Rattus norvegicus: one gene and its partners. The protein of the gene in region 1 purifies or fractionates together with the protein of each later gene. This does not show direct contact. Links are inferred from orthologs where the notes say so. Each region holds a gene or a part of one and is shown in the gene's direction. Other genes may lie near its edges. The genes, in order: Ruvbl1, Tuba1a, Wdcp, Actl6a, Znhit6, Nopchap1 and Nop58.

Region 1 (4,206 bases):
AGTTAAGAGCACTGGCTGTCCTTATAAAGGACTCAAATTCAATTCCCAATACCCATATGATGGCTCACAACCATCTGTAACTTCAGTTCCTGGGGATCTGACACCCTGTTCTGACCTCCTTGAGCACTGCATGGTGCGTTCACACCTGTGGGCAAAACACCCATATGGATAGATTACAAAAATGAAAAGACTTGGCACTCCCTGGAACTTGTCTAGCAATCTCTGCCTTTGGTTTCTCGGCTGCCTGTCACTTGTCACTTCTGTTCCCAGTCACTCTAGAACTCACTAGCTGCCTTTTATCACTGTCTTCACTGCTATAGCCACTCGGCATGTCTTCATATTACCAGCTCAGTCCACCATACTATTAATCCAGGTGGATAGACCACTGGAGAAATCTTACAATGGGACTAATGTTACAACACAACTGTACATTGTACAGCACAGGAGGGTGTCTCCTGGCTGACTTAAAAGTGAGGGGCACCTGCTTAGAATGCCAGAATGTCAGAGGGTAAACAAGAATGTTTGCTGTCCTTAGTACAGCCCTCCATGCAAATGAAGCATTAAATTTACACTATGGTACAGTGGGTTGTGGAAATGGACTACCATGTTTGCACCAATAACCAAACAGTTGCTTATTCAAATAAAGGGCCATGTTTCTTCACAAGTCACAGGCAGTTTTTGTTTGGCTACCTGGAGAACTGTACCCACTCAAGACAGGTGAAAATGGCTGGTCAGAGTATGGTGGCAGCACCTTTAATCCCAGCAACTCAGGAGGCAGAGACACCTTCTCTTCTTTTTTAAAAGTTTCTTGGGCATGTGATGATCAAAATCATGACATAAAGTGTTTGAAAAGTTTGGGCTGGAATAGTGCCTTCAGGATCTAGTGTATTCTGGAAAAAATGGGCTGGAAAAGAGTGGTTGGCTGGGCAGCTTCCTCAGGGCATCCTTGGGGTGTCTAAATTAGGTGTGAGTGGGAGAACTTTGGGCAGCTGCTTCGTTGATAGTTCTCTCAGGACATCCAAGCACCTGGGAAAGGTCTAATAATTGTCAGTGAAGGAGTCAACTCACCCTGGCATAAACATCTTATACTAAAGAAAAAAAGCATTAAAAGAGGAGTTTATAATTAAAAACCTGCCATTCACATTAATAGCGCTTAAGAATCTGACGGTTCCCAGTCAAACCTGGCCAGGGCAGGAAATGCCTGCCCTGGGGGAACCTAACCTGTGACACAGACGGAAGTTGGTGGGTGAAACTCAGCCGCCGACAAGCGTAGCTTGTAGCCAATAGAAAACGAAGTCTTTTCGCTTCAACCAATGGCGTACTAATAAGGGCGGGTCCTGGAGAGCGGCCTAGTAACGGCCGCGTGGTAACCCAGGCGCCTGGCGTGCCGTAGTTCCTAGTCTCCACGCAGGTTGTGGCTGCACACACTCGTCAAAATGAAGATTGAGGAGGTGAAGAGCACCACGAAGACGCAACGCATTGCCTCCCACAGCCACGTGAAGGGGCTGGGGCTGGATGAGAGCGGCCTGGCCAAGCAGGCGGCTTCGGGGCTCGTGGGCCAGGAGAACGCGAGAGAGGTGGGCGTGGGGCGTGTGCACGCGGTGTGGGCGGCGGGACCAGGTCTCACTAAGATTTGTCTGAGAAGTGAGGATCACATTAGCCAGCAAGGGTCACGGCAGGCAAATTAGGCCTCACCGGAAACACAGTGGAAAGCTGTGGGATTAAATGTAGAATTGACTAAATTTTCGGAGTTGATATGGGTTCTTTAGGCCTGGGAGCTGATCTGTTAAGTGGAGCGGTGAGGAGGAACACTATGACCTATTCCCCATCCAAGCACTCTAGCTTTTCCAGTTCAGTCTTCTTAAAGTCATTGGAAGTTATGCCAGGTCTTTCGATCGGTTCTGTTTTGCACACGAAGAAATTAAAGGTGGGCCAGGTCGCTTAACCACCTGCCAGTTCAGCAGTAATGAGGCTGGTATTCTCCCGACCCCACCCCAAATGATTACTCTTCCCATTTCCTCAGACTGCTCCACTTTGATCCCTGCAGAGACTCAGTATCTACAAAAACTTGCTGTTTATATGTGGTGAAGACTGCTTTCCCAGCCTCAAGAGCATCATCTATCCAAAAGGGAAACGTTTGACCCTAGCTCACTTGCATCTTTTTTTGCAAGCAATAGTTTAATGCTTTCTATTTGTCAGGCGGCTTTATTGTCTGTTATTTCATTTCTGTCTAATAAACCTCACTTTGGTCTGATGTTTCTAAGCACACAGAAACATTGACATGTTTGCACATTAAATCCCAGTGTGCCAAAATTCTACAGTTAACATTTTACAGTGATGCTTTATGGTATATCTGTTCATGTATGTCTACCGTCACAAGTCAGAGTAAACTGTGGACATCAGCCCACTTTGCACATAAGCCCTTCCTTGTGGGTACAGTTGTTTTGAACACTCGGAGTCAGATGAGTAATAGGTGTTAGGTAAAATAAATCTGAGGACACTCACCTCAAGTGAAATGGCCAGGATAGATACTGGATTGTATGTGACTTCAGAGTCTGTTCTAGACCTGCCTCTGCACTGGGTTCTTGTTTGGCCAATCACGCTAGCAGCCTCCCTGGTACTCAGTATCTTCACCCTTATTATTATTGTCATTAGCTGGTATTTATTTATTTTTTTTATTTTTTATTTTTTTGATTCAATAAAGTTTTATTTTCCCAAATGTACAGCTGATTCAATCTGTTTATGCATCTTCACCAGCAGCTGGGGCATCTCCACCCTTTGTGTTTCTGGTGTAAATTACTTGGGCTCTGTGCTTTGAAACCAGCTTGATAAGTCCTTTACTAAGTAGCTCCTGAAGGGCTGCCCTGGCCAAGGAACCTCGAATCTTCAGTCTCTCGGAGACCACAGCTGGAGTAATAAGCTTATAGTTGGGAACTTCCTTACAAAGTTTGTCGTAAGTAGCTTTGTCAAACAGGATGAGATTGTTCAGCTTGTCCCGAACTTTGCCTTTGGACCACTTCTTCTTTTTGGCCTTGCCACCAGATTTATTTACTGGGTCCTTGTCTTTTTTGGCCGACTTTCCGGCATCCTTCTTCTTCTTGTCGTCTTTGGGCAGCATGGCGAAACTCAGAGAGTAGTGTGGACCACTGCAGCCACACTCTGGTATTTATTTTTGTATGTTTGTTTTCACGACAGGGTCTCACTTTTAGCTCTGGCTGTCCTGAGACTCTGTAGACCCTGCTGGCCTTGAGTTCACAGGGATCCATCCGCCTCTGCCTCCTGAGTGCTGAGATTAAAGGCGTGGGCCTTTACTATGCACCTGGCTTCCTTAGCTGGTATCTCTTTCTTTTCCTATTTGACACAATGTGTGCGTAGGCTGTGCAGTTATAGGCCTGCCATGGTGTTTGGGTAGAGGTCAGAGGTTCCTCCTTCCATTGTGGGATCCAGGGATTGAACTAAGGTTTACACTGCAGGTGCTTTTTACCCACTGAGCATCTCACCAGCTCTTTCCAACTCTTATTGGTTGGATTCATAGCACACCCTTTTTGTTTAGATAATGTTGCCGTAGCCAAACTGGCCTGGAATGCACAGCCCTGCTGCTTTTGTTAAGTACTAGGTCTGTGTTGGCTCCTGCCTGCCTCAACCTCCCCTTTCCCTTCTGTTCACTATACTTTGGTAGCTGCAGCATGTTGACCCTTAGACATATCAAACTTGTACTTTGGTTATTTTCAATTTGCAATTTTTGCCTGAAATGTAGATTTCTGCCCGGGGCTTCAAATGTTACATACAAGGTTATGAGAAAGCCCCCTCCGCCCCAGCTCTCCCTAGCTGCTCAGTGTCTCATTTTGCTTCTCTCTTTGTGGGAGCCATCATATGGCATGAGCTAGAGCACGTGGCTCACCCCCACCGCTCCACCCCACAGCAGTGGTGTCCTGTCAGAAGAGCATCGGAACTGTGTGGACCAAGCCCTGAACTGTTTCTACCATGAAGCATTTTAAGATTGACTGATTGTTTCTTTCTGTTTTGTGCAGGCATGTGGTGTCATAGTCGAATTAATCAAAAGCAAGAAAATGGCTGGAAGAGCTGTCTTGTTGGCAGGGCCTCCTGGAACTGGCAAGGTATTCATTCATTTTCTCTCTCTCTTTTTTTTTTTTTTCCTTTTCTTTCCCTTTTTTTCTGGAGCTGGGGACCGAACCCAGGGCCTTG
Region 2 (4,198 bases), on another chromosome or scaffold:
TCCTAGGGGTGAAAGCAAGGCATTTTTGTCCCAAGGGGCAATTGAGCAACGACCACAGTAGCAGTGGGGCGAGCCTCTACAGTTCCCACAGTCAGAAAGAAGCCCAGCTGCGGAAAGGGGCTATTTACGGAATTCAGGGAACTACACAAAACTGCACAGGGCTGGCACTGCACAGTTGTCTGGGGATGAAAACAACATCGCAAAAATGGTTTCCTTTTTATATTATAATACTCTCCTCTTTTTAATTTGGCATCTCAGCTATTTTTTACTTGGTATCACCCCCTCCCCCTCAAAAAAAAGGAGCGCTGGAGAAATACAAGCCCACACAAAGAGCTCGTTTTTAAACTCACTCCTTTCTCCTTACAGTTTCTGAATTCCGTATTAGAAGGGATGGCTCATTTCTAGGGACAAAATAACACAGGCTCTGGGGTGAGGTAGGGTCGGGTAAGGGGGCGAGCGGGGAGGGGTGATGGGAGAGCACTACCGCTAAAGAAAGCAAGCTCTCTAGTAAAGCGTTAAGTACTACTTTGTATATTGTTTCTCTTTTTTCCTTTCTCTCTCTCTCTCTCTTTGTTTGTTTTTGGTTTTTGAGACAGGATATCACACTATATATCCAGGCCGGGTACAAAATAACCGCAGTCCTCCGCTTCCCAATGCTGGGATTTACAGGCATAAACCACTAAGGGCGGTTATGATGACCTTGAGCTGCAAGTCTTCCTGCCTCTGCCTCCCAGGTGCTGTTGAGGGTCATAGGCGTGGTCTATTCATACTGAGCTTCTGAATTTTGCTCAAATATTAATAATAATAGTAATAATAATAATAACCACAATAATACAACTGTAAAACTAAACATTTACCCACGCCTTTTTGACCATCATTCCCATAGCTCTTGCTACTTTATTTAAAGCGAACAGAGATGTTGAATCCTGACGGAACGTATTTAAATTTAGTGTAGTATAAATGAAAAGCTGGAATTTACCATAAAGAATCTCAACACAAATTCTGTGATTAAGTGTTGGGGAAAACCTTAAATTATCCTAACTACAGTTTAAGGTTTAAGCTCCGTATAATCACCCAACCCCCGTTTTCTTTCTTCCCTCTCTACCCCTCCCCAGCTCCACCCCATAATGGATGCTCGGCTAGTTGCTTTTGCGAGGCCTTTGTCTGAAGGATGCAAAATCTACGGATGCTAGCGAGGGGGGGAAGGGGGGAGAGATTACCTCATACCATGTCGCTTGCACCAATCACCACTCTCCTGTCGCGGCTTCTCTGGGCAGACGGAGGGGTCTGGACCAACAGGAAAAGGCCTTGGCCCATCCCCATGGTGACCGAGCTGTATATAAGGAGGCGCATCCGCCCAAGTGCCGCAGGTTCTCTTACATCGACCGCTTAAGAGTCGCGCTGTAAGAAGCAACACCTCCTCCTCGCCTCCGCCATCCACCCGGCAGCCGCGAAGCAGCAACCATGGTGAGCAAACCTTCCCGGGCTCTCAGGAGCGGGTGGGTGTCAGCCGGCTCAGTCTGCAAGGAGACGCCTAAGCCTTTTGTCATCTCTGCGGGGAAGGGTGGTCTGGATGCTTTAAGTTTAGCTTAGTCCGTGAGTCCCGCCGCCGCAGTGCGGGACACGGAAACGCCCAGACCGGGAAGAACAAAGGCTGCGCCGGCGAGCGATTGCTGGCAGAGCCCGGGACCACAGGGGACCGGCGGGGGAGAGGGAGGGTGCCGCAGGGTCTGCTGCAGCAGGAGGGCAGGGCGGCGGCCGAGCCCGCACTCCAGAAACGCCGCCCTAACTCGCTGGGAAAATAGTTTGCCTGGGATCCATGGCAGCCGCTGTCAGGGAGGCGCAGGGGCGGGGTTGTTTGTCTCTTGCTTCCGTGGCGTTTTGGGAGGGGTTCGCTCTCACTAAGCCTCACTCCCGAGCTGGGTTTTTTATTATTATTATTATTAATTTTTATTTTTAAAAAGAATCGTTGGGGAATTGTAGTCTTACGAGATGCTCCACGGGGCCATCTCGCTGGGTGGGGGGAGGGGAGCTGGATGGTTGGGAATGACAAAGCCCACTTTGTGAAGCCCGAGTAGCTGACGGTCAGAACCCAGGGAAACGCCCTTCCCCGCCCCCAACCCCCGCAGACAATGAAAGTTGTCCCTCCAAGGCAGAAGTGTCTCTCTCTATAGAATAGTGGTTTATTATGTTGTATGTAGAGATTCATCGGATAAAAATACTATTTTCTACTTTTAAATATTAGTTATCTTTTCACTTGTTTTTTTTTTAATTGTTGGCACTAATTGTGTGCACTGTGTTTCTAACTTAGCCTGCTTTAAGAATGTTTCCGTCCCATCCAATAGAAAACCTTCAAAAACCATAATGATTCTGCTGCAAAGAAAAAAAAAATGATACTCTGCACCCGACTGCCTTTTGTTCTAATATATGACACTCATTCATTAATTCAGGCAGATGGCCCCAGGCAGGGTTGGGAGGCACGCAGAAAGCTGCACAAAGAGATCACGTAGACAGCTTCTGGAAATAGAGCTTTCTCTGTTAAATAATGTAACAGACCACAGGCTAGAGCCAGGCACAGAGAACGCGGCAATGCAGAAGTCAGACTCAATAGCAGGTAACCTAGCCTAGTACTGACCGGGCCCACAGAAGGGTGTGGCTGCTGGCCTCAGCCGCACTGCAGATGTCCACATTGAAATACCAGGTCCTATAGGATGAAACCTTAAACTTTGTGAGACTCGGTCTAGCTTGCAGCTTAGCCAGAGTACTAATGGGGTCCACAGAAGGGTGTGGCTGCTGGCCTCAGCCGCACTGCAGATGTCCACGTTGAAATACCAGGTCCTGTAGGATGAAACCTTCATCCTTACTTAACAAGAAAAGAAGCAATTAATGTAATTTCGGGTAATTATTTCATTTTACAGAATCTATGTTTTGAATATTTTTCAAATATGAAGACTTCTATTCAAACACTGCTATGGGAACAATGGGTTGGCACCATGTCTTAAGCAGTACTAAGGTGACATTGAGGCCACACCCACTTTCAGTATTGGTAGTGGGTACTCCTTCCTCATTGTGTCTGTCATATTAGGGATATGACACTAAATAAATTTAAACAATGTTTGTATTTTTAGAAACACTTTAGAAATCTATTAAAATCTAAAATAGAAGTACAGCTTAATATTACAACAACTTAATTTTATGATATTTTTTCCCCCTTTCCACAGCGTGAGTGTATCTCCATCCACGTCGGCCAGGCTGGTGTCCAGATCGGCAATGCCTGCTGGGAGCTCTACTGCCTGGAACATGGCATCCAGCCTGATGGCCAGATGCCAAGCGACAAGACCATTGGGGGAGGAGATGACTCCTTCAACACCTTCTTCAGTGAGACAGGAGCTGGCAAGCACGTGCCCCGGGCGGTGTTCGTAGACCTGGAACCCACAGTTATTGGTAAGTGGACTGGGGGCTTCCCTGGGGCAGTCCTTCTTGGTCACATACTCAGAATGTCTCTCCAGACCCGGAAGGGTGAGTGAGCTTGTGGGGTCCTTGGTGGTGATGGCTGATGTCTTCTCCTTTTTCAGATGAAGTTCGCACTGGCACCTACCGCCAGCTCTTCCACCCAGAGCAGCTCATCACAGGCAAGGAAGATGCTGCCAATAACTATGCCCGTGGCCACTACACCATTGGCAAGGAGATCATTGACCTTGTCTTGGACAGAATTCGCAAGCTGGTAAATGCCCTATGTGGATGGGTTTAAAATGCAGTGGGAGGGTGTCTTGGTATCTGTCAAAATGTGTCAGGTCTTTCCTATCAGGTAGAGATGGCTCACAGTCTAAAGGAATTGAAATAGTGTATGCCCTGGTAATAAGACATTATATGTCCTTTTCTCCCACAGGCTGACCAGTGCACGGGTCTCCAGGGCTTCTTGGTTTTCCACAGCTTTGGTGGGGGAACTGGCTCTGGGTTCACCTCCCTGCTGATGGAGCGGCTCTCTGTCGACTACGGAAAGAAGTCCAAGCTGGAGTTCTCCATTTACCCAGCCCCCCAGGTTTCCACTGCTGTGGTTGAGCCCTACAATTCCATCCTCACCACCCACACCACCCTGGAGCACTCTGATTGTGCCTTCATGGTAGACAATGAGGCCATCTATGACATCTGTCGTAGAAACCTCGACATTGAGCGCCCAACCTACACTAACTTAAAC
Region 3 (2,670 bases), on another chromosome or scaffold:
GAGCTGGAGAGGTGGCTGTTAAGAACATGAACTAGGCTGGGCATAGTGGCAGATTCCTTTAATTCCAGCACTTGAGAGGCAGAGGCAGGAGGATATCTGTGAGTTAGAGGCTGGTCTGGTCTACATAGTGAGTTCTAGGCCAGTTAGGCCTACATAGCGAAATCCTCTCTCAAAAAAGAAAAGAAAAGAAATCCCAAGGAAGAAAGGAAGGAAGGGAGGGAGGGAGGAAGGGAAGGAGAGAGAGAGAGAAAGAGAGAGAGAGAAGGAGAGAGAGGAGGAAGGGAGGACAGACCAACAGAAGGACATGTATTGCTATCCTAGATGACCAGAGTTTGGTTCCAGGCTGTCTTCTGACGTCTTCTGGTACTAGTGCACACGGGTATACAGACGCATGTGCAGCAAAACACTCACACACACAAAATGAGTTTGACTCATTTCACTGAACCAGATCTCCAGTTCCATTGTAACACTGTTCCCCAAATACTTAACGAAGAGAATATTTAAATAATTAAAAGAAATGTATAATGTAAAAGTAACTTTTATTTATCATCGCGTGTTTGTATATAATATGTTCGTGTCAGGTGGGCATGCATGTAGAGGTTAGAGGACGACTGTCAACAATCAGAAGCGGGTTGTGGTGGCACAGCCAACGGTGCTAGTGCTGGGGAGGAGGGGCTGACGAATCTCTTGAGTTCAAGGCCATCCTTGGTTACACGGTCATTTGCAGGCCAACCAGGACTATATGTGAGACTGTCTTAAACAAACAAACACAAACCCATCAGTTCTCTCCTTCTGTCTTGATTCTAGGGATTGAACTTGGGTTTCATAACCTAAGTGACAAGTGATTTTTGCCACCGAGCCATCTCACTGGCCTGGTGTCTTAGTAATGAAACTTTTGCCGTGGTGAACACTGTGACCAAAAGCAACCTGTGGAGGAGGAAAGGGTTTATTTCACCCACAGTTCCATATAATAGCTCATCATCATGCAAGCCAGGAACCTGGAGGCAGGAGCTGATGCGGAGGCCATGCAGGGATGCTGCTTACTGGCTTGTTCCCCATGACTTGTCCAGCCTGCTTTCTTATAGACCCAGGACTACCAGTGCAGGGATGGCCCCACCCACAATGGGCTGGGCCCTCCCCCGTCAATCACTAATTAAGAAAATGCCCTACTGCCTTGCACACAACCCAGTCTTATGCCAGCATTTTCTCAGTTGAGGTGCCTTCCTCTTGAATGACTATACCTTGTGCCAAGTTGACATAAAACTAGCCAGCATAAAACTACCTGGCCCTAGAAGTAATATTTTATTCTATGTTCACAATTATGCTTTTAGGTTAATAGTGAATCTTAAGTTAGAACCGTAACAATTTAAAGATATTTTCCTCAAGGTAGATTTTAAATCACTTCTAAAATGACTTCATTCTTTCATGACAAAAAAAAAAATGTTTGTTTTGAGACAGGGTCTCCCTATGTAAGCCTGGGCTGGCCTCAACTTGCCTTGTAGACTAGGCTAGCCTTAAACTCACAGAGCTCTGCCTGTCTCTGTTCCCTATCCCCCAGTGCTGGATCCGAGGCATGTCCACTATGCCCAGCTCCCTCTACATTGTTCTTAAGAGCTGTCAGTCCATTGCTTTAATAGTCGGTTAACCACTTTTACTTTTACTTGAAGAAACCTTGTTCTGTGGGTCCTGCTGAAAAAAGAGCTGTGCTTCTCTGTGACGGCAGACTAAGGCTCAGTACCATTCAACAGATGTTTGGCCTCCACCTCGTTGAAATGCTGCACGGTAGGTGAAAGCCAGAGCCCCCTCTCCCTCCCGTCTGTTCTGAAGCTTCAGGAATGGAAATGGTACCATCCAGCCATTCAGGGGATTCACTAAATAGTGAATAAATATGATTAATTGCCTACTATATACCCTGACTGCCTACTGTATACCCTGCCCCACTAGAGATATTACAACCCTTTCCTGGGGGACTCGTATCCCTTTTTTGTTTTTTTTTTTTTTTGTTTTGTTTTGTTTTTTTTTTTTTTTGGTTCTTTTTTTCGGAGCTGGGGACCGAACCCAGGGCCTTGCGCTTCCTAGGCAAGCGCTCTACCACTGAGCTAAATCCCCAACCCCTCGTATCCCTTTTAAAAAAGAAAACTGAGCTGCAAGGCAGAACATTGCAGCTGCAGCGTTCCCGTTGCAACCCAATGCACCGGACATAGAAACACTGCAGTGTGCAGTTGACATGCTCAGGTGGAGGCAGTGGGGGGATGCGAAGGACAGGACTACACGCAGGGCCTACCTGATGCCCTCCTCAGCACACACAGACCATGGCTGGTCTCTTCCTTTCTTCCTTCCATTTCATTTCATTTTGTAGCCCTCGCTGTCCTGGAACTCACTCTGTAGACCAGACTGGTCTCAAACTTACAGAATTCCTAAATGCTGGGATTAATAAAGGCATGCACCACTACTGACCAGCTCATTTTTATTTTTAAATAGCAGCCACCACATTGAACATAAGACATTTTATTTTTCCCTTTATCATTGTAACATTTTTCAGTTTTGACAGATACATTTACATATGGCTTTACAGTTGCCATTTTTGACAGGTTAGTATTATTTCTGAAGTATACCATTTTTATTTTATCATAGTTTCTTGTTTATGTATTTGTGTTTTATTTTTAAACA
Region 4 (3,500 bases), on another chromosome or scaffold:
ATGATGGAAGCACGATGATGGAGATCGATGGTGACAAAGGCAAGCAGGGCGGGCCCACCTACTACATAGACACCAATGCCCTCCGAGTGCCCAGGGAGAGCATGGAAGCCATCTCACCGCTCAAGAATGGCATGGGTAGGAATTGGCTATAGACAGCAACAAATCTCAGAAGATGAATAACAAGTATTTGTTTGTTTTAATTCGATAAAGTAATATTTTAGATAGTGAGAGTACAGAAATGTGTAAGAAATGTTCTTTTCCTTTAAACTCAAAGTCAGAAGAGTTTGGTGTATGTACAGAAAACTGCGTGCTGTGTACAAGGTTAAAAGCTATGTGCGTGTGGTCAGCAAACAGTGGGATCAGAGAGTTTATAAAGGAGGTAGCTGCTAAGTCTTGAGCCATGGGATAGGAATTCAACTGTCCAACAAGGCTGAGAAAAGCTGAAAAGCAGCAGCTAGTGTGATGAGATGGGAGTTGAGAAGGATATGTTTGAACTGCTTCACAGATGTGGCTGCAGCATTGTGCATGTTAGGTTGCTTGCAGGAAAGGTAGGCAGAGAATGCTGTCTTCTTGGAGCATGCTAAAATAGTCCCTGAAAGCTGGCCTAGGGAAGTTAAATTAAGTAAGGCGTAGTGTGTGCGCTTATCTTTGCCATTCTGAAGGACTCACTGACAGTCTGTAGGGTCTGCTGGAGACAGGACAGTAATCAAAGAGGAGAATGGAACTGAGGAGGGTTTAAACTAAACCACTGAGAACAGAGTCCTGAAGCGACTTTTGAATATCTAGGCGACAGGTGGTACTAGGAGATTAAGGGGGCAGAAAGGAGAGGAGAATTAAGGTTTCCTAGAATTTTGGTTGAGGTGATGAATCAATGGTAATACTCACTAAGATAAGAATTAAAAGGGGAGGCAGGCAGAAATGTTATTGTCTCTGGAGAAAACTCTGAGGTACTCATAGGAGCTATTCATAGGAGGACTCATGATACCACACTGAAAAGACACAGAAGGCATCCAAGGAAAAGGGAGAGGGGATGAAATCCAGAGGAGACCCAAGTCTTTCACTGTGGATGCATAGAGTGTGCTTCTGCCTCACTCTGCACAGTGTAATAATGCATGTATTGTCTACCTAGGAGCTTAGCAGAGACTCTGTAAGGCTTTGAGGGCTGGTCACATCGGACCACTTCTGCCTCTCATACGTCAAAGGTGTAGAAACACAGGTGGGAAGCAGTAATCAACATGAGCTACTTTGCAGACAGGTTGGACACAGTAGCCTACTGTCAGCATACTGGGTGTGCTTTGTATCAGTGCAGGGAACTGTAGACTGTTGAGTGCCGAGACACCAGTGCAGGGTCAGGTTTGCTGCGCTCTCCCATACAGCAAGTGAGTGGCCTGACTTCAGAGTGTATGGGACATTGGTACTGATCTAGTAAGCAGGTCAGCTAAAAGTCATGGAGAAACATTGTAGGTGACCCAGAAAGGGTGTGGAACTTGTAAGAGGTTAAGAACGGGCTTTCTATTGGGAATTTGCTCAGTATTTAACCAGTTGAGATGAGTGCTCAGGAAGGAGAATTTCAGCCTCAAATTAGGTGTAGGGGGAAAATTCAAGAGAAGTTTAAGACTTACAGAGTCAAGTCATGGCCAGTGGGTTGAAATTTCCCCAAGGGAGACATAGGTCCCAGCTACTGTTGAAGACTACAGACTTAAAAAAAAAACATGGGTTTATGGAGAAAACATTTGTAAACCATTGTAATCAGTAGTGCCAGGTAAGGTCAAAAGGTCACATTTAATTGATAATACTAATTGTCCAATGGAACTGTCACCACTTAACCAGTGACACATGAGCAAAGGGTGGGGGGATGCCAGGTTTTGTTTGCTTTGCCTGGAGCTCACAGAGACCTGCCTGTCTCTGCCTCCCTAGTGCAGTGTGCTGGGATTAAAGGTATGCAATGTCACGTCTAGCTACTCTGGATTTTTAAAACACCTTTAAATCCTTAGTTTTCTAACAGATAGTGTGTATTTTGCTTTTTGTTTTCTTCCTAGCTCCAGAAATAATTGTGTCTAGCTTATGAGCTGCTTTCCCTCTCTGATCACCCACCTGGCCTCTAGCAAGAACTAGGTGTCTGTTAAGCACCCCATTTATATTTGGGGCAGATCTGAGGCCCACCTGGAAGAACCAGAAGGAGATTTTATATGCAGAAGACGATACTGTCCTTTCTGTAAAGTACTGTGTTACAAAGTAGATTCTGTATATTGAGATACTAATTATAAGTCTAGAAACAGTCCTTTTGTCTTAGATGATGCTCATTCATCAGCTAAGCCTTGTTTCCTGCTCTGACTCTTACGTTCTAGTTGAAGACTGGGATAGTTTCCAGGCCATTTTGGATCATACATACAAGATGCATGTCAAATCTGAAGCCAGTCTGCATCCTGTTCTCATGTCGGAAGCACCGGTGAGACCGCTTTCTCTTCTAGTTTCTCTAGTGTATGCTCTTTTTCTTCTTTTACTTTCTGCTCATTTGAAGATTTTCTTTTTGTTTTTAGAAAAAAATACACTTTTTAAAATTAATTTATTATGTGTGTGTATGCACACACGGGTGCTCATGTGCCAGGCACACATGTAGAGGCATTAATTCTCTCTACCATGTGGATCCCAGGGCTCTAACTCAGGCTGTCAGGATTGGGGACAAAGCAGACTTTACCTGCTGAATTATGTTGTTGGCTTTTTGTTTTCTTTTAAAGAGTCATCAACATTTACATTTTGAGTTTGGAAATTTGGGGAAAGATTAATTTTGATTATGGTTATAACATTATTTCAGCAAATGAAATAATTGACTTTGTGAGAACCAGTTACAAGTGGGATGATTGAGTGTTTTAAAATTCATATTTAGTCTTTTGATTACCAGGTTTAATATTTAAGAATACTTTTGTTTTTAGAGTCTTAATTTCCCTGTGATTGTAAAGTCTTTATTTCTAGAACTCATAGCAGCTAACAGTTTTACCTGTTGAATAATAGAGTTTCATTTATATATTTTTTTTAAAAAGGACCTCTTAACTTCCTTCACCAATATGACTCTGTAATGTGGTATGAAATGAATCAATGCTTTAATTACTGTTCAGTGAATAACCTATGTCCTTTCTCCCTTCTCCAGTGGAACACCAGGGCAAAGAGAGAGAAACTGACAGAGTTGATGTTTGAGCACTACAGCATCCCTGCATTCTTCCTTTGCAAAACTGCAGTTTTGACGGCGTATCCTTAAACTATAAGACAGCTTTTCTCAGTGTGTGTAAGACATTAATGGAAGAAGTGGTTTTTAGCTTTTTACCTTTCTTTGAGTATTTTTTAAGGTCCTCCCTGCCCCCCATTCTTGGTGTGTGTAATCATTGTACACAGTGTTGGGGTTCATAAAGACACTCTTCCTTCAAGTATATCATGGACCTGGACCATATTCACTCACTTCTTCTGCTTAGATTCACCTGCCCCTCCTGATATACTCTCCCTCT
Region 5 (3,500 bases), on another chromosome or scaffold:
ATACCACAGAGGCTTGGAGTTGTGCTAGAAGTCAGATTCTTATACCTAGGCAGAATAGACACAGAGGTGAAGGGAGTCCTGAGACTGTGTCCTGTAGTTATAATAAAGTAAAAGCTGTGTCAGACTTGAGTTTGTGAACTAGTAATCTCTGTTTAGTCACAGAGCGCTCGTGGCTCTGAAGAAGCACTGGCATCCCTGTTTGCAAGTAGGAAACAGGATTGAAGGCATGAAGTGAGCCAGGGAGCTGCTCAGTGGACAGCACCTGCTACACAGGCGTGAAGGTCTGAGCTGGAATCCTGGTACCCTGGGAAAGCCAGGTACGGTCGCCCATGTCTGGGCTTTCTAGATGCCAGCCAGTATGTTATGGGCATCAGCAAACAACAAAAGACCCTGTCTTAAGGTGGAAGGTAAGGACTGACCCTCAAGACTGTGTAAATGCCAAGTAAATAAATTTAAGTAAAGTAATTAAACACTTAGAAGTGATGTATCCAGGATCAGACCAGTCAGTAGCAGAGAAGGGCTTTAACTCCTATTAGGCTTACTGCTTCCTATAGCCAAATTCTAAGTCCATAAGATGTTACCCTGTATGTATTGGACGGGCTTTCTTTATGTATGACTTCATAGTACACTTTTAGTCACTGCTGCACACTGGTGTCCTAGAATTTGAAGAATTTCTGACTTTGAGCTAAGGGAGTCTACTTTGAAATATGAACTTCACAGTCACCAAGCAGTGCTCTGGATGCTTGCTGGCCCTTAAGAGAAATGTTCCTCTGATAGAGGCTGTAACTGTGCAGGGCAAACACTAACTGAAACCCTGGAACAGGGGCTACAGAGGCAGCCCAGCAGTGAGAAGAGCATGCTGCTTTTACAGAGGACCAGACTTTGATTCTCAGCCATGTTGGGAGGCTCATAGCCACCTATAGCTCCAGGCCTCTGAGGGCACCTCCTAGATGGGACATGCACTTAAACACACAAATAAAAAAAGACATTCAACAAACCCACTTTCTGTCGTATTTGAACAAAATGTTTTAAAAAACTCTTTAGTTGACAGTTCTGTAAAAAGCTGTGTAGTAAGTGTTTTGCATTATGCCAGCTTGGTTTACGCAATAGAAACATCCCTTCATTTGTGAGGTGTCTTAGAGGAAGCCTTGTGGTTAGGATTAAGTGTGCGTAGAAGGTAAGCTCTTTCAAGGCTGACCCCCTGATGCCTGATGAGACCTCTGAGAGCCCTGGTTGTGTTTTCCCCTAGGAAAAGTTCAGGTGCATCACTGTGTACTGTACACTAATTTTATATTCAGTTATCTAGTATAATCTCCTGTTTTTCTTAGTGTAACTACAACTGTTTCTTTTTAATGTATTTTTAATTCTGTGCATCTGAGTGTTTGGCCTGCGTGCACACAGTGCACCACATGTGTGGAGTGCTGGCGGAGGTTAGCAGAGGGCGTCAGATCTCCTGGAAGGGCAGTAACAAACAGTTGTGAGGTGCCCTGTGGCCTCCAGGAATGGACCAGGTCCTGGGCAAAAGCACTGAGTACACTGCTGAACCATCCTCCAGCCCCACGTTGTTTATTTTTGAGGGAAATAATGTTTGAAAGATGTGAAGCATTTGATCCTTAAATCCTGGACCCACTTGTAAATATTTTCTGCACATCTGTCTTCTGTTACCCAGGGAGAGAATGGTGTGTGAACACAGATGCTGGTTCAGAAAACACAGTTACTTTGCTTTTCATGCTTCTTTGTAATGCTCTGTGATTCTGAAGTAAATACTCCATCCAGTTCTTGGTAGAGTGATCATCAGAAAAGCTCACACACAGGTTTCCTTTACACTCAGTCTCTCAGTGTCATCCCCTAAGGAAGACCTGTTATCATGGGAGACTTGGATTGGCATTCGTAAAGCACTTACCCTTTCCCCTGTTGCACAGGACAGCCTTGGAACAGAGAAATTGCTGTTATGGGAGTTCATAACTCCATATACAAATAACTCGATGTAAATTTAGAGATGCCAAAACTCGCCAGTGATTTATGCCAAATCACAGCAGGGGTAGTGCTTCCAGGGGACGTCTTTGCTCTGGAGCCTTCACAATCCAGCGCGCTTTCTGTTCTAAAGACTTACTCTGTCATCATTACCTTCCTTGTGTGTACCGTTAGGCTTGTGCATGTGAGTGCCAGTTCCTGTGGAGGCCAGAGAGGCATGGGACCTACTGGGGCTGGAGTCAGGTGGTTGGGAGCCACCCAGTGTGAGTGCTGGGGGCCAAACCCGCGTCCTCTGCAGGGACAGCAGATGCCCTGAAGAGCCGTGGGTTTGTCTGCCTGTGAGGGTCCTGTGCTGTCCGTGGGGGAGAGTGAAGCTGGTGAGCCTCCTCTTGGTGTTTTCCTGTTGGTCTGAAATGACATTCAGACGCCAGCGTGTTCCAGCACAGACTATTACTGCACAGCTGACACAGCACCCAGAGAGCAGGCAAAGGAGACTTCAGGACGACGTACCTTTGGCCCATTCTGTCTTTTAAGAACTTAGCGGTCTTATTCCTTAGTGCGTGTTGGTAATTAACTGTTGTGTATTATCAGCTATGTCTGATACCGTGACCAATAGTCTGTAATTCTTAGATTTCTCACATCACATTCACAAATCAAAAGTATTAAAGTGTCAAGATGAAGACAAACTATATTTAATTGCATGGCAATATAAACTTCTGGAATCCAGTTATAAGTAAATTTGACCTTCTATAAAAGTATTTTGTAGCCACTTATTCTTTTAAAGTTCAAAGTAAATAGATTTGAGGAATTTGAATTTCACCTGTCAAAGAAAAGCTCATGATGCACTGAACATTGGTTTTACATAAAACTGTTCATTTCCAAGTCTATATGAAAACTAGGGACTTGGTCTAAGTTTTTTCAAGTGCCAATATCTGGTAGGTCTTTTTTCTAAATATGGCATCTTGCAGTCATTTCCTAGACTAGCCTCAGACTTCCTGTTTCAGCCTCCCAAGTAAGTGACAGATCCTGTACCACCGCGCCCTGCTTGCTATACATTTTGATTGTTTGCTGTTATGTTGATCGCTTGAGACAAGGTCTAAATGGAACCCAGATTGGCCTGGAACTGGATGTGTAGCCTAGGCTGCCCTCAAGTCACGAGCCTCTTGTCACGGCTGCTCATGGATTCGGTTATAGGCACTGATGTACTTGTCCAGTCATTTCAATATTAGTCTTTTTGCCTGGATTCTTAGAAGACGTAAGTGTGGTTTTTTTCTTAAGGTATTATGAACTGGATCCTTCCAAAAGTCTTGTAAACAACTTGAGGAACAAAGTGATCATTGAGTATCCGACTCTGCATGTGGTATTGAAAGGCTGCAGTAATGACATGCAGCTTCTTCACCAAGGTAAGCAGTTTGTTTTGTACCTTTTTAAAGGGACACGCAATAATGTGACTGCTACTACATGTGCCTGTGTTTGTAGATGTAAAAGAATGTACTGTGTACAGCAGCTGATCGTGTGACGTACCA
Region 6 (3,988 bases), on another chromosome or scaffold:
ACTCTTGAGATGGCTGGACTCAAGACAGCTGTCTCCTTACAAGTTGTTCCCGAGAAGTCTAAACTCAGACACCTGCTTAAGACAAAAGCTCTTCAGCTGTAGGGAAGTCCCCAGCTCCCCTAGTGCGTGGGGCCTTGAATTTTGTTTCTCCTTATGATTTAAATGGAGTCTGAAAATGAAATGGTAGTGCTTACAAATGTTTCTTTTCCTTGTTCCCAGCAAAACCATGAGCACTGGGTCCCAGGGCCAGGGAGAGAGGAGGAATGGGATTTATCATTCAATGGTTTTATTTCAGCTTTTTAAAAAAATTAAGGGTTTGTTTTGATGCTGGAGACCAAACTTAGGGCTCCCTTCACAACTTCACCACTTAGCTACCACCAGGAACAATTTTCATTTTGACATGACAATGTTCCAAAGGCTTGTTGTATATATAGCAATATAAACAGCATTTATGATACTGCTGGGTTTTGTGTTTACCATTGAATAGTGAACTAAGCTCGGTCTGCTCATCCAGACCTTAAATTCAAGCTATTTAGGAGGCTAGAAAGAGCCAGGAGGACTTTTGAGTACTAGGCCAAGAAGAATAACTCGGTGAGACTTCAACAAGCAACAAACTAAGGCAAGCATAGTAAACGGGTGCCTGTAGATTTAAGTGCAAGGAAACTGAAACTGGCAAAATTGTGAATTTGAGGCCAACTTGGGCCAGCCGGTTAAACAAAAAAAAATTTTTTTAAAGAAGCTGGGTGTGGTGGCTCCCACCTATAATTTGGCGTTTGTAAGTTACAAATTATGGCAGGATTGCCACAAAGTCAGGGCCACAGAAACCTCCCCAAACAAAAACAAAAATAGAATAACGACAAAGGCCTCGTATCACCTTCACGCTTGCGTTTGCTTAGCTTAACCTAGCTGGGCTGACGCTTACTAGTAGTAAGGAAGGAGACCTTTTGGCTGGACTCGGACACGTGCAATCCTAGCGGTCCGCCCAGGCAGTGTGGTGTCCCCGCCCCCCGCCTGGGGCCCGCCCCCGCTTCCGGTCCCCGTGGGCTGGAGGCTTCAGCTGCAGGCAGGAGCTCCCGCCACGCACCGCCCCACCCTCCTAAGTCACCGCCCACCTCCGAGTTTCCGTCAATTGCCGCCTTGACCCCGCCCCTTCCCCGTGCCTTTCTATATCCGGGCTTTTCCACTCCCAGTGCCTGAGAAGCATGGCGCTCCGTGGTGAGCACGCGAGTGGTCCTGGGGTTTCTTCGTCTTCTGTGGACTGCTCGCGGATCACGGTGTCCAGGGAGCTACTGACGGCGGGGAGCGAGGGTTCGCGAGGTGAGCGGCGGCGAAGAGCGGGGTGGGCTGGCGGGACCGGGGACGCTGCGGGGTCGAAGACGCTGCAGGACCTGGAACGCTGCGGGAGGTTGGGAACGCTCCCGGGACCAGGGACGCCGCGGGGTTCAGGGACACTAAGGCGCCCAAGACTGCAAGGGGTCGGGTCTCTGCGAGGACCGGGGACACCAGGAGGCCCGAGACGCTGCGGGGGTCGGGGATGCCGCGGAGTCCCGGACGCTAAGGGGGCGGGGACTCTGCCGGTGTCAGGGATGACCGGGCCAGTCGTGGTGGGTACAACTAGGCCAGTCCGGACCTGGGAGGTTCTTCATGAACTCTACAAGGACTACCTGGTCTGGACCGGCTTGGAAGGTAAAGAGCAGACAATACCATTTTTATTATTTTTTGATTTGGGTACAAACTCCTTAGTGTGGCCTTGGCGGAGGGAGACCTGTGTGCGGGGAAATCCACTCAGCATTTCCGCTAGTGTCACATCTCATTAATTCCAGCACTTGGGAGGCAGTGGCAGTGGGATTTCTTGAGTTCGAGACCAGTCTGGTCCACATAGGACGTTCTAGAACAGCCACAAGTATAATGTAGTGAGACCCTGTTTCAAAAAAACAATTCTCAAAAAAAACCAATCTGTGTTGTCCTGGTTCTGAAACTTGCTCTGTTAGACCAGGCTGGCCTGCCTCTGCCTCTGAGTGCTGAAATTAAAGCATTTCTAACTTTAAACTTGAAGACTAAGTTTTGCTAATTCTGTTGTTTAAAGTTGTGGATTGTGCATCCCTGGTGTCTTACGAGGTCAGAAAGTGATCTTTTGTAACTGGAGTTACAGTCCAGTATGAGTCCCCACGTGGGTGCGTGGTCTCAAACCCTGGCCTCTGCAAGGGCAATTAGTGCTTGACAGTTCTATTGTGTAGTCCTGGCTGCCCTAGAGCTCCAGAGATCACTTGTCTGCCTTTTGAGTGCCCCACCATGCCCAGCCCCCCAACCTCTTTTGTTAACTCAGAAGATAGAATCCAGTGTGTATTTGAGTACTACAGGTGGGTGAGAGATGGCCAGAGAGAGGAGAGATGGATGTATATATAGACAGGGGTGTTTGCTCCTTCTCTGTCAGTGTGTGGAATGGTCCAGACTGTAGGTAGTCCTAAGGGCTGTGCTGATGGCCCCTCTCTCACTGTTAATCTATCATTTCTGAGTTGCACTTGTGGCTCAGGGCTGTTTTATGCCGTTAATTGTGTGTGGTTTCAGGTGTCTGGGACCAGCTGCTTATCAACTCTAAGCCTCATTCCAGAAAGGCCTCTACCCTTCAAACAGTTCGGGTACAAAGGAGCCCTTGTAAGTACCTCCTTTCTACTCTAGAGGACACTCCCCTGATTAAGGCTAGTTAATCCATTTTGTGATGGGATAGCCTGTCTTCATGGCTCATACTAAACCAGAGAGTCAAATACATTGTGTAAACCATTTTCTGAGGAATAGAATTTTTCATGTTCATCACCTCCCTTCAATTTTTTTCTGAATGAAAGGTATTTTTGAAACTTCAAAAGGTCCAGCTAGTTACTTAAGATCTTTTTTTTTCCCCCTTTTGAGACAGGGTCTCATGTAGTCCAGGTTGGCCTCAGGCTTCACTGTGTAGCTGAGAAGGACCCTGAACTCCAGATTCTCCTACCTCACCCAATTCTAGAATGAGTTACGTGCTGCCATGCCAAGTCTGTTTTTTTCCTCCCCTCTGACAAGTCTCTTACCCCTGGCTGGCCTGGAACTCTGCCTCCCCCTCCCAAGAAGTGGGTTAAAGGTGTGTGCCACCACACCTGGCAGGTATTTACTCCAGGAGATTGCTCAGAACAGGTGCTTGTTGAGCAAACATGAGGACCAGGGTTCAAATCCTTGGAACCCACTTGAGCTGTGTGGCTTCATGAACCCATAACTCTTAATACTCTGGGAAGCATTAAAGGACTCTCAAACTGACCTCTGAAATGTCACAAGCCAGACCTCCATCTGCATTGCTCTCAACATTCTTCTCCTCCAAGCTCTCTACAGAATGGCCCAGCCCAAAGTTCTTCTACAATCTTAAAAGCACAGTCGGGTCTCTGCCACAGCAGTACCCCATGACTGCAGTACCCATTTCTGTCCTAGTTAGGGTTTGTTTTGCTGTGATAAAACACCAAAGACCAAGGCAAATTTGGGGTGGGGGGTGGTTTATTCGGCCTACACTTACACGTCACTGTATTACTGAAGGAAGTCAGAACAGGAACTCAGCAGGGCAGGAACCTGGCGGCAGGAGCTGATGCAGAGGCCATGGGGGGTGCTGCTTACTGGCTTGCTCAGCCTGCTTGCCTGTAGAACCCAAGAGCACCAGCCCAGGGATGGCATCACCCTCAATAGGCCAGGCCCTCCCTTCCCATCAATCAGTAATTAATTAAATGTCCTACAGCCGGGTCTTGCAGAGGCATTTCCTCAGTTGAGGTTCTCTCAGATTCTGGCTGGTACCAGCATGGTGGTGAGATTGAATGCATTAGTTAGAACTCTGAATTGCCTAAGAGCAAAAGCTCTGATTGCTTTAAGAGAAACCAGAGTTAGAAACTAAAAGTTGTATCTGGATCCCAATGCTCATTTTCTCCATGTGCTGCCGGTCTCTGCTCTGCTCTCTCGGTGTTAGACTAACCTGAAG
Region 7 (4,058 bases), on another chromosome or scaffold:
CAAAAGGCTATGGAGGCAGCTCAGTTAGTAAAGTGCTCCCCTAACATGTACGGAACCAAACCTTGGGTTCCATCCCCAGCACCAATAAAGTCAATGTGGTGGCATTTGCCTGTAATCTCACTACTGTGCAGGTAGGGATGGGTGGACCTTTATGAGTTCAAGGCTTCTCTGATCTACATGGTTACAAGACATACAGGACTACATAGAGACCCTGTGGCAAACAAATAAACAAGTTGTTTTTAGCAAGGTCATGTGAATTTGAGGCCAGTCTGAGATACATAAGACTTTGTCTTAAAATGAACCCTGCCGCTAAGGCTGAAAGTTTCCATAAAAGAAATTGCATTGAGACATGTTTAAACTCATACCTCGGGATCACTTTAAACACACACACACACACACACACACACACACACACACACACACACACACACACACACACAAAACCCCCCCTCAAAAAATACTTATACTTATAGCTATAAAAGAAATCTTGGGGTTGGAGAGATGGCTCAGCGGTTAGGAGTACTGGCTGTTCTTCCAGAGGTGCTGAGTTCAAGGCCCAGCAACCACGTGGTGGCTCACAACCATCTGTAATGGGATCTGATGCCCTCTTCTGGTGTGCATGAAGACAGTGATAGTGTACTCACATACATGAAATAAATAAACAAATCGTTTTTTAAAAAATGGAAGAAATCTTGGCTAAAAACTTGTTTGACCAGAGAGGAAAACCACCAGGAAATGTTCCTGGTTATAAAAGTTTGCTTCCCTTGCAGAGGACCTGATTGGGTTCCCAGCACCCACGTGACGGCTCACAATTGCCTACAACTTGGCTTCCAGGAGGTTAGAAGAGGGTGTGTCAGATCCCTTGGAACTGACTAATGGGACAGGAATGCAAGTCCTCATTAAGAAAGTGTTCTGCGTTGTTTTAAAATAAAATGTCCTTTACATGGCGGGAGGTAGCATAATGTGCTGTAAATTATACACATGTACTTTATATATTGTATATAATAAAATATATAAATAAATTACACAGAACTTATTTTTCACATAATCGCGTAAACTGACAGCTCTCAAAATCAGTTCAGGACTTCAAAAGTCTCGCGATATCTTGAGACCGCCTTCTTCCGGTCTCCTCTGTGGGCGGGAAAAAACCGGAAATGACCTCACGCTCTGCGGCATTAATCGACCGGAAGTGACGTTGACATCCCAGAATCCTTGGAGAAGGAGACTTTCGTATTTGCTGCTCCATGCGGAGAGGTGTGGAACGTCTAGGCAACGTGGTCTCCCCGCCCGCGGGTAGGCAAAGGCGTTTGCGCTTCCCAGCGTCTGAGGCCTAGGGAGCCTTCAGTAGCCGAAAGTTAGTCTTTTGCAGTGGAGTAAGGGCTCGCGGTTAGCCGCGTAGCGCCCGGATCTGGCCTCACCATGTTGGTCCTATTTGAAACGTCCGTTGGCTACGCCATCTTTAAGGTAGGTGAGATGGAATTGTTGAGCCAAAAGGCTTATGTGGGACAGACAGCTATCCATGTTAAGATTTAAGGAGAGACGGAATAACGGAACACATTTGAGTGTCTTTCAAGTTCCCAGATCCGAAAGGATGTGAAAAATCAAGAGCCGGTTTTTCAAGTGAACACGTGGCTTCTCCGACTTTAGGGCGCCCTCCTCTGCTTTAGAGATTTGCTCAGTTTAAAAAATGGGTAGGACCCTTTTTTACAAGTAATAATAAAACGTTCATTTAATAAAAATATTTACGGTGTTGGGGATAGAACCTAAGTGTACATGTTAGACCAGCGTCCTGTCACACAGCTACATCCCTAATTCAAGATCAGTAATTTTTTTATATTCTTTAACATTTACTACTTTATGTATGAGTATAGCTGTCTTCAGACACACCAGAAGAGGGCATCAGATCCCATTACAGATTGTGAGCCACCATGTGGTTGATGGGGATTGAATTCGGGACCTCTGGAAGAGCAGTCAGTGTTCTTAACCACTGAGCCATCTCTCCAGCCCCAGTTATTTATTTTGTGTTTTTCTAGACCGGGTTTCTCTGCTGCTCGAGTTGCCCTGGAATTCCCTCTGTCCCAAATGCTGTAATTAAAGGTGTGCATCGTCATCCACGGGCTTTTATTTTTCAGGGAGGGTCTCGCTGTGTAGGATTGGCTGGCCCCTAACATTCCATTTATATTTAAGTAGATTAAAGCTGGCTTCCAAGATCAGGGTCCTTTCAGGCATGTTTGGAAGGTTTTGAGTACTGACTGGTGTAATTTGTTTTATCGAAACATTATTTTACTGTGTGATAACAGGAAGGAACAAGAGAAAGTTATGCTGTGGTTTAATTTAGACAATATGAATGTTAGGACTCAGGACAAATGGCTGAGGTGCCTATTAACGGCAAATCTGACTGGCCGCCAGTCTCCCTGTATATTCTTCAGCCCAGTAACTGGGCTAGAACCCTTCCCAGCTTAACTGATTTCTATATAACCCAGCCATTTTGTCCACAACTGTCTCTTGGTCGTCAGATTTGGTCTTGGTCTTTCTGTTCCTCTCTTGTCCCTGCTCAGCCTGGACCATTCTAGATGCCTCTGGCTGTATTCTTTCCCTCATATCTGCAATGAAACCTCTTCCCATACCTAGAAGTGTCATGTCCTTTTTGTTTGTTTTTTGTTTTTAAATTCAATGAGATTGCTTGAATGGAAATTTGGGCTGCTAGCAACAGGATTGATGGGTTTTTGTTTAAGTGAGACAGTTGGGGACATGTTCATGATTTCCAGTTTGGACTATGTGAGGCTTATCCTGATGTGATTGTATAAACCAGGGAGTTCATAATTGCAAACATGCAGAGAAATCTAGGTGGCTGCTATTAAACTTTAGTGTCCCTTGTTTAAATAGGGAAAGGTTTTGGTGGTTTTTTATTTTCTTTATTTTATGTGCTTTGGTGTTTTTCCTGCATGTGTGTCTGTGAAGTCAGTTAGTGGAGTTACAGACAATTGTGAACTGCCATGTGGATTTGCACCCAGGTGTCTGGAAGAGCAGTGGATGCTTTTAGCCACTGAGCCATTTCTCATTGTAAGAAATAGCTTACAACTTTATTATCATGGAAACCGTTGAACAATGGCAGACTACTGAGATGTGGAAACAATGAGGTAGAGTGAGTGTCCATGTGCTGAGCATTCTATTATTTACTTATTAGGATACTCCAGTGTTCCATGGTTTTTGTGATAAATGTGCTGTGTGTTGTTACTTTATTGGAGGGTTGAGTATTGAAATTTTCAGTTTATAATTACTTGGTATTTATATTACTGGAGGCATATTCTAGATCTAGTGCTAGTGATTGCAGTTTGTGAGAAGGGAATTGCGTACTGCGCAAGGTGAATATTTTATGTGAGTCCCAACAATACTAGTTGCTGCCTTTTTCCATGATCTTTCAAAATGATAGAATATGAATTAGATTTTGAGAGAAAGCCCTGTTGGCACAGACTAATGCCCGTACTAATGAATTATAATTCCTGGAAGTGAAGACAGACCTATGGAAGTGATTTAATGAGATTTTGTCATAAAATAAAAGGAAAACAGGGTTAGGGATATAGTAAAAATACTTGCCTGGCACTTGTGGCCCTTGGTTCAATTTCTAGACATTCCAATACCTTCAGTTGTATTGGCTACAGATTTTTTTCATGCTTGGGTCAGGCAGTGAGTGTTCTAATTACTGCTTAGAAACGATATATGGTGGCATGATTGGGTACAGCCAAAGTTTTCTTTGCTCTACAGGATTTGTAAATAATTTGGATAACTATTAATCACCATGATTTTATTGCGCTTTCTTTCTGCTTTAACTTTAGTTTTAAGAATGATGACAATTTGGGGCTGAAGAGATCCCTTAGTGGCTAAGAGTACTTGTTCTTCAGAGGACTTACCTTTCCGGCACCCAACTACATGGTGGCTCACAATTATTTGTACCTCCAGTTCTAGGGGACAGTCTTGACCTCCAACAGCAGGCATAAGAGAATGGGACAAAAATCTCCCAAATATGACAATTCTGTTAATCCTTTTGTTATCTTCTA

Evidence for each region.
Region 2: the proteins of Ruvbl1 (region 1) and Tuba1a purify together in Homo sapiens (affinity purification with western blotting; 3 studies listed by BioGRID and IntAct, with this or other methods). This does not show direct contact. The link is inferred for Rattus norvegicus from reciprocal best matches to the Homo sapiens genes RUVBL1 and TUBA1A.
Region 3: the proteins of Ruvbl1 (region 1) and Wdcp purify together in Homo sapiens (affinity purification with mass spectrometry; 6 studies listed by BioGRID and IntAct, counting the BioPlex papers as one, with this or other methods). This does not show direct contact. The link is inferred for Rattus norvegicus from reciprocal best matches to the Homo sapiens genes RUVBL1 and WDCP.
Region 4: the proteins of Ruvbl1 (region 1) and Actl6a purify together in Homo sapiens (affinity purification with mass spectrometry; 10 studies listed by BioGRID and IntAct, counting the BioPlex papers as one, with this or other methods). This does not show direct contact. The link is inferred for Rattus norvegicus from reciprocal best matches to the Homo sapiens genes RUVBL1 and ACTL6A.
Region 5: the proteins of Ruvbl1 (region 1) and Znhit6 purify together in Homo sapiens (co-immunoprecipitation; 3 studies listed by BioGRID and IntAct, counting the BioPlex papers as one, with this or other methods). This does not show direct contact. The link is inferred for Rattus norvegicus from reciprocal best matches to the Homo sapiens genes RUVBL1 and ZNHIT6.
Region 6: the proteins of Ruvbl1 (region 1) and Nopchap1 purify together in Homo sapiens (affinity purification with mass spectrometry; 4 studies listed by BioGRID and IntAct, counting the BioPlex papers as one, with this or other methods). This does not show direct contact. The link is inferred for Rattus norvegicus from reciprocal best matches to the Homo sapiens genes RUVBL1 and NOPCHAP1.
Region 7: the proteins of Ruvbl1 (region 1) and Nop58 purify together in Homo sapiens (affinity purification with mass spectrometry; 4 studies listed by BioGRID and IntAct, with this or other methods). This does not show direct contact. The link is inferred for Rattus norvegicus from reciprocal best matches to the Homo sapiens genes RUVBL1 and NOP58.

What each region holds. Positions count from the first base shown.
Region 1 is NC_086022.1:122,488,348-122,492,553, forward strand, and holds the start of Ruvbl1 (ruvB-like 1), read left to right. Parts: upstream 1-1,406; 5' UTR 1,407-1,436; coding exon 1,437-1,577; intron 1,578-2,661; exon of another isoform or gene 2,662-2,740; coding exon of another isoform or gene 2,741-3,118; exon of another isoform or gene 3,119-3,180; intron 3,181-4,031; coding exon 4,032-4,118; intron 4,119-4,206. Other genes in the region: Rps25l3 (small ribosomal subunit protein eS25-like), read right to left, coding at 2,741-3,118. UniProt on the Homo sapiens protein: Possesses single-stranded DNA-stimulated ATPase and ATP-dependent DNA helicase (3' to 5') activity; hexamerization is thought to be critical for ATP hydrolysis and adjacent subunits in the ring-like structure contribute to the ATPase activity.
Region 2 is NC_086025.1:131,993,020-131,997,217, reverse strand, and holds the start of Tuba1a (tubulin alpha-1A chain), read left to right. Parts: upstream 1-1,398; 5' UTR 1,399-1,464; coding exon 1,465-1,467; intron 1,468-3,221; coding exon 3,222-3,444; intron 3,445-3,575; coding exon 3,576-3,724; intron 3,725-3,889; coding exon 3,890-4,198. UniProt on the Homo sapiens protein: Tubulin is the major constituent of microtubules, a cylinder consisting of laterally associated linear protofilaments composed of alpha- and beta-tubulin heterodimers.
Region 3 is NC_086024.1:33,580,145-33,582,814, forward strand, and holds part of Wdcp (WD repeat and coiled-coil-containing protein), read left to right. Parts: intron 1-1,667; coding exon 1,668-1,782; intron 1,783-2,670.
Region 4 is NC_086020.1:117,423,731-117,427,230, forward strand, and holds part of Actl6a (actin-like protein 6A), read left to right. Parts: coding exon 1-135; intron 136-2,348; coding exon 2,349-2,449; intron 2,450-3,148; coding exon 3,149-3,246; intron 3,247-3,500.
Region 5 is NC_086020.1:237,171,158-237,174,657, forward strand, and holds part of Znhit6 (box C/D snoRNA protein 1), read left to right. Parts: intron 1-156; coding exon of another isoform or gene 157-235; exon of another isoform or gene 236-317; intron 318-3,252; coding exon 3,253-3,377; intron 3,378-3,500. UniProt on the Homo sapiens protein: Required for box C/D snoRNAs accumulation involved in snoRNA processing, snoRNA transport to the nucleolus and ribosome biogenesis.
Region 6 is NC_086025.1:22,244,351-22,248,338, reverse strand, and holds the start of Nopchap1 (NOP protein chaperone 1), read left to right. Parts: upstream 1-1,188; 5' UTR 1,189-1,202; coding exon 1,203-1,317; intron 1,318-2,568; coding exon 2,569-2,655; intron 2,656-3,988. UniProt on the Homo sapiens protein: Client-loading PAQosome/R2TP complex cofactor that selects NOP58 to promote box C/D small nucleolar ribonucleoprotein (snoRNP) assembly. Acts as a bridge between NOP58 and the R2TP complex via RUVBL1:RUVBL2.
Region 7 is NC_086027.1:68,613,816-68,617,873, forward strand, and holds the start of Nop58 (nucleolar protein 58), read left to right. Parts: upstream 1-1,258; 5' UTR 1,259-1,419; coding exon 1,420-1,464; intron 1,465-4,058. UniProt on the Homo sapiens protein: Required for the biogenesis of box C/D snoRNAs such as U3, U8 and U14 snoRNAs. Part of the small subunit (SSU) processome, first precursor of the small eukaryotic ribosomal subunit.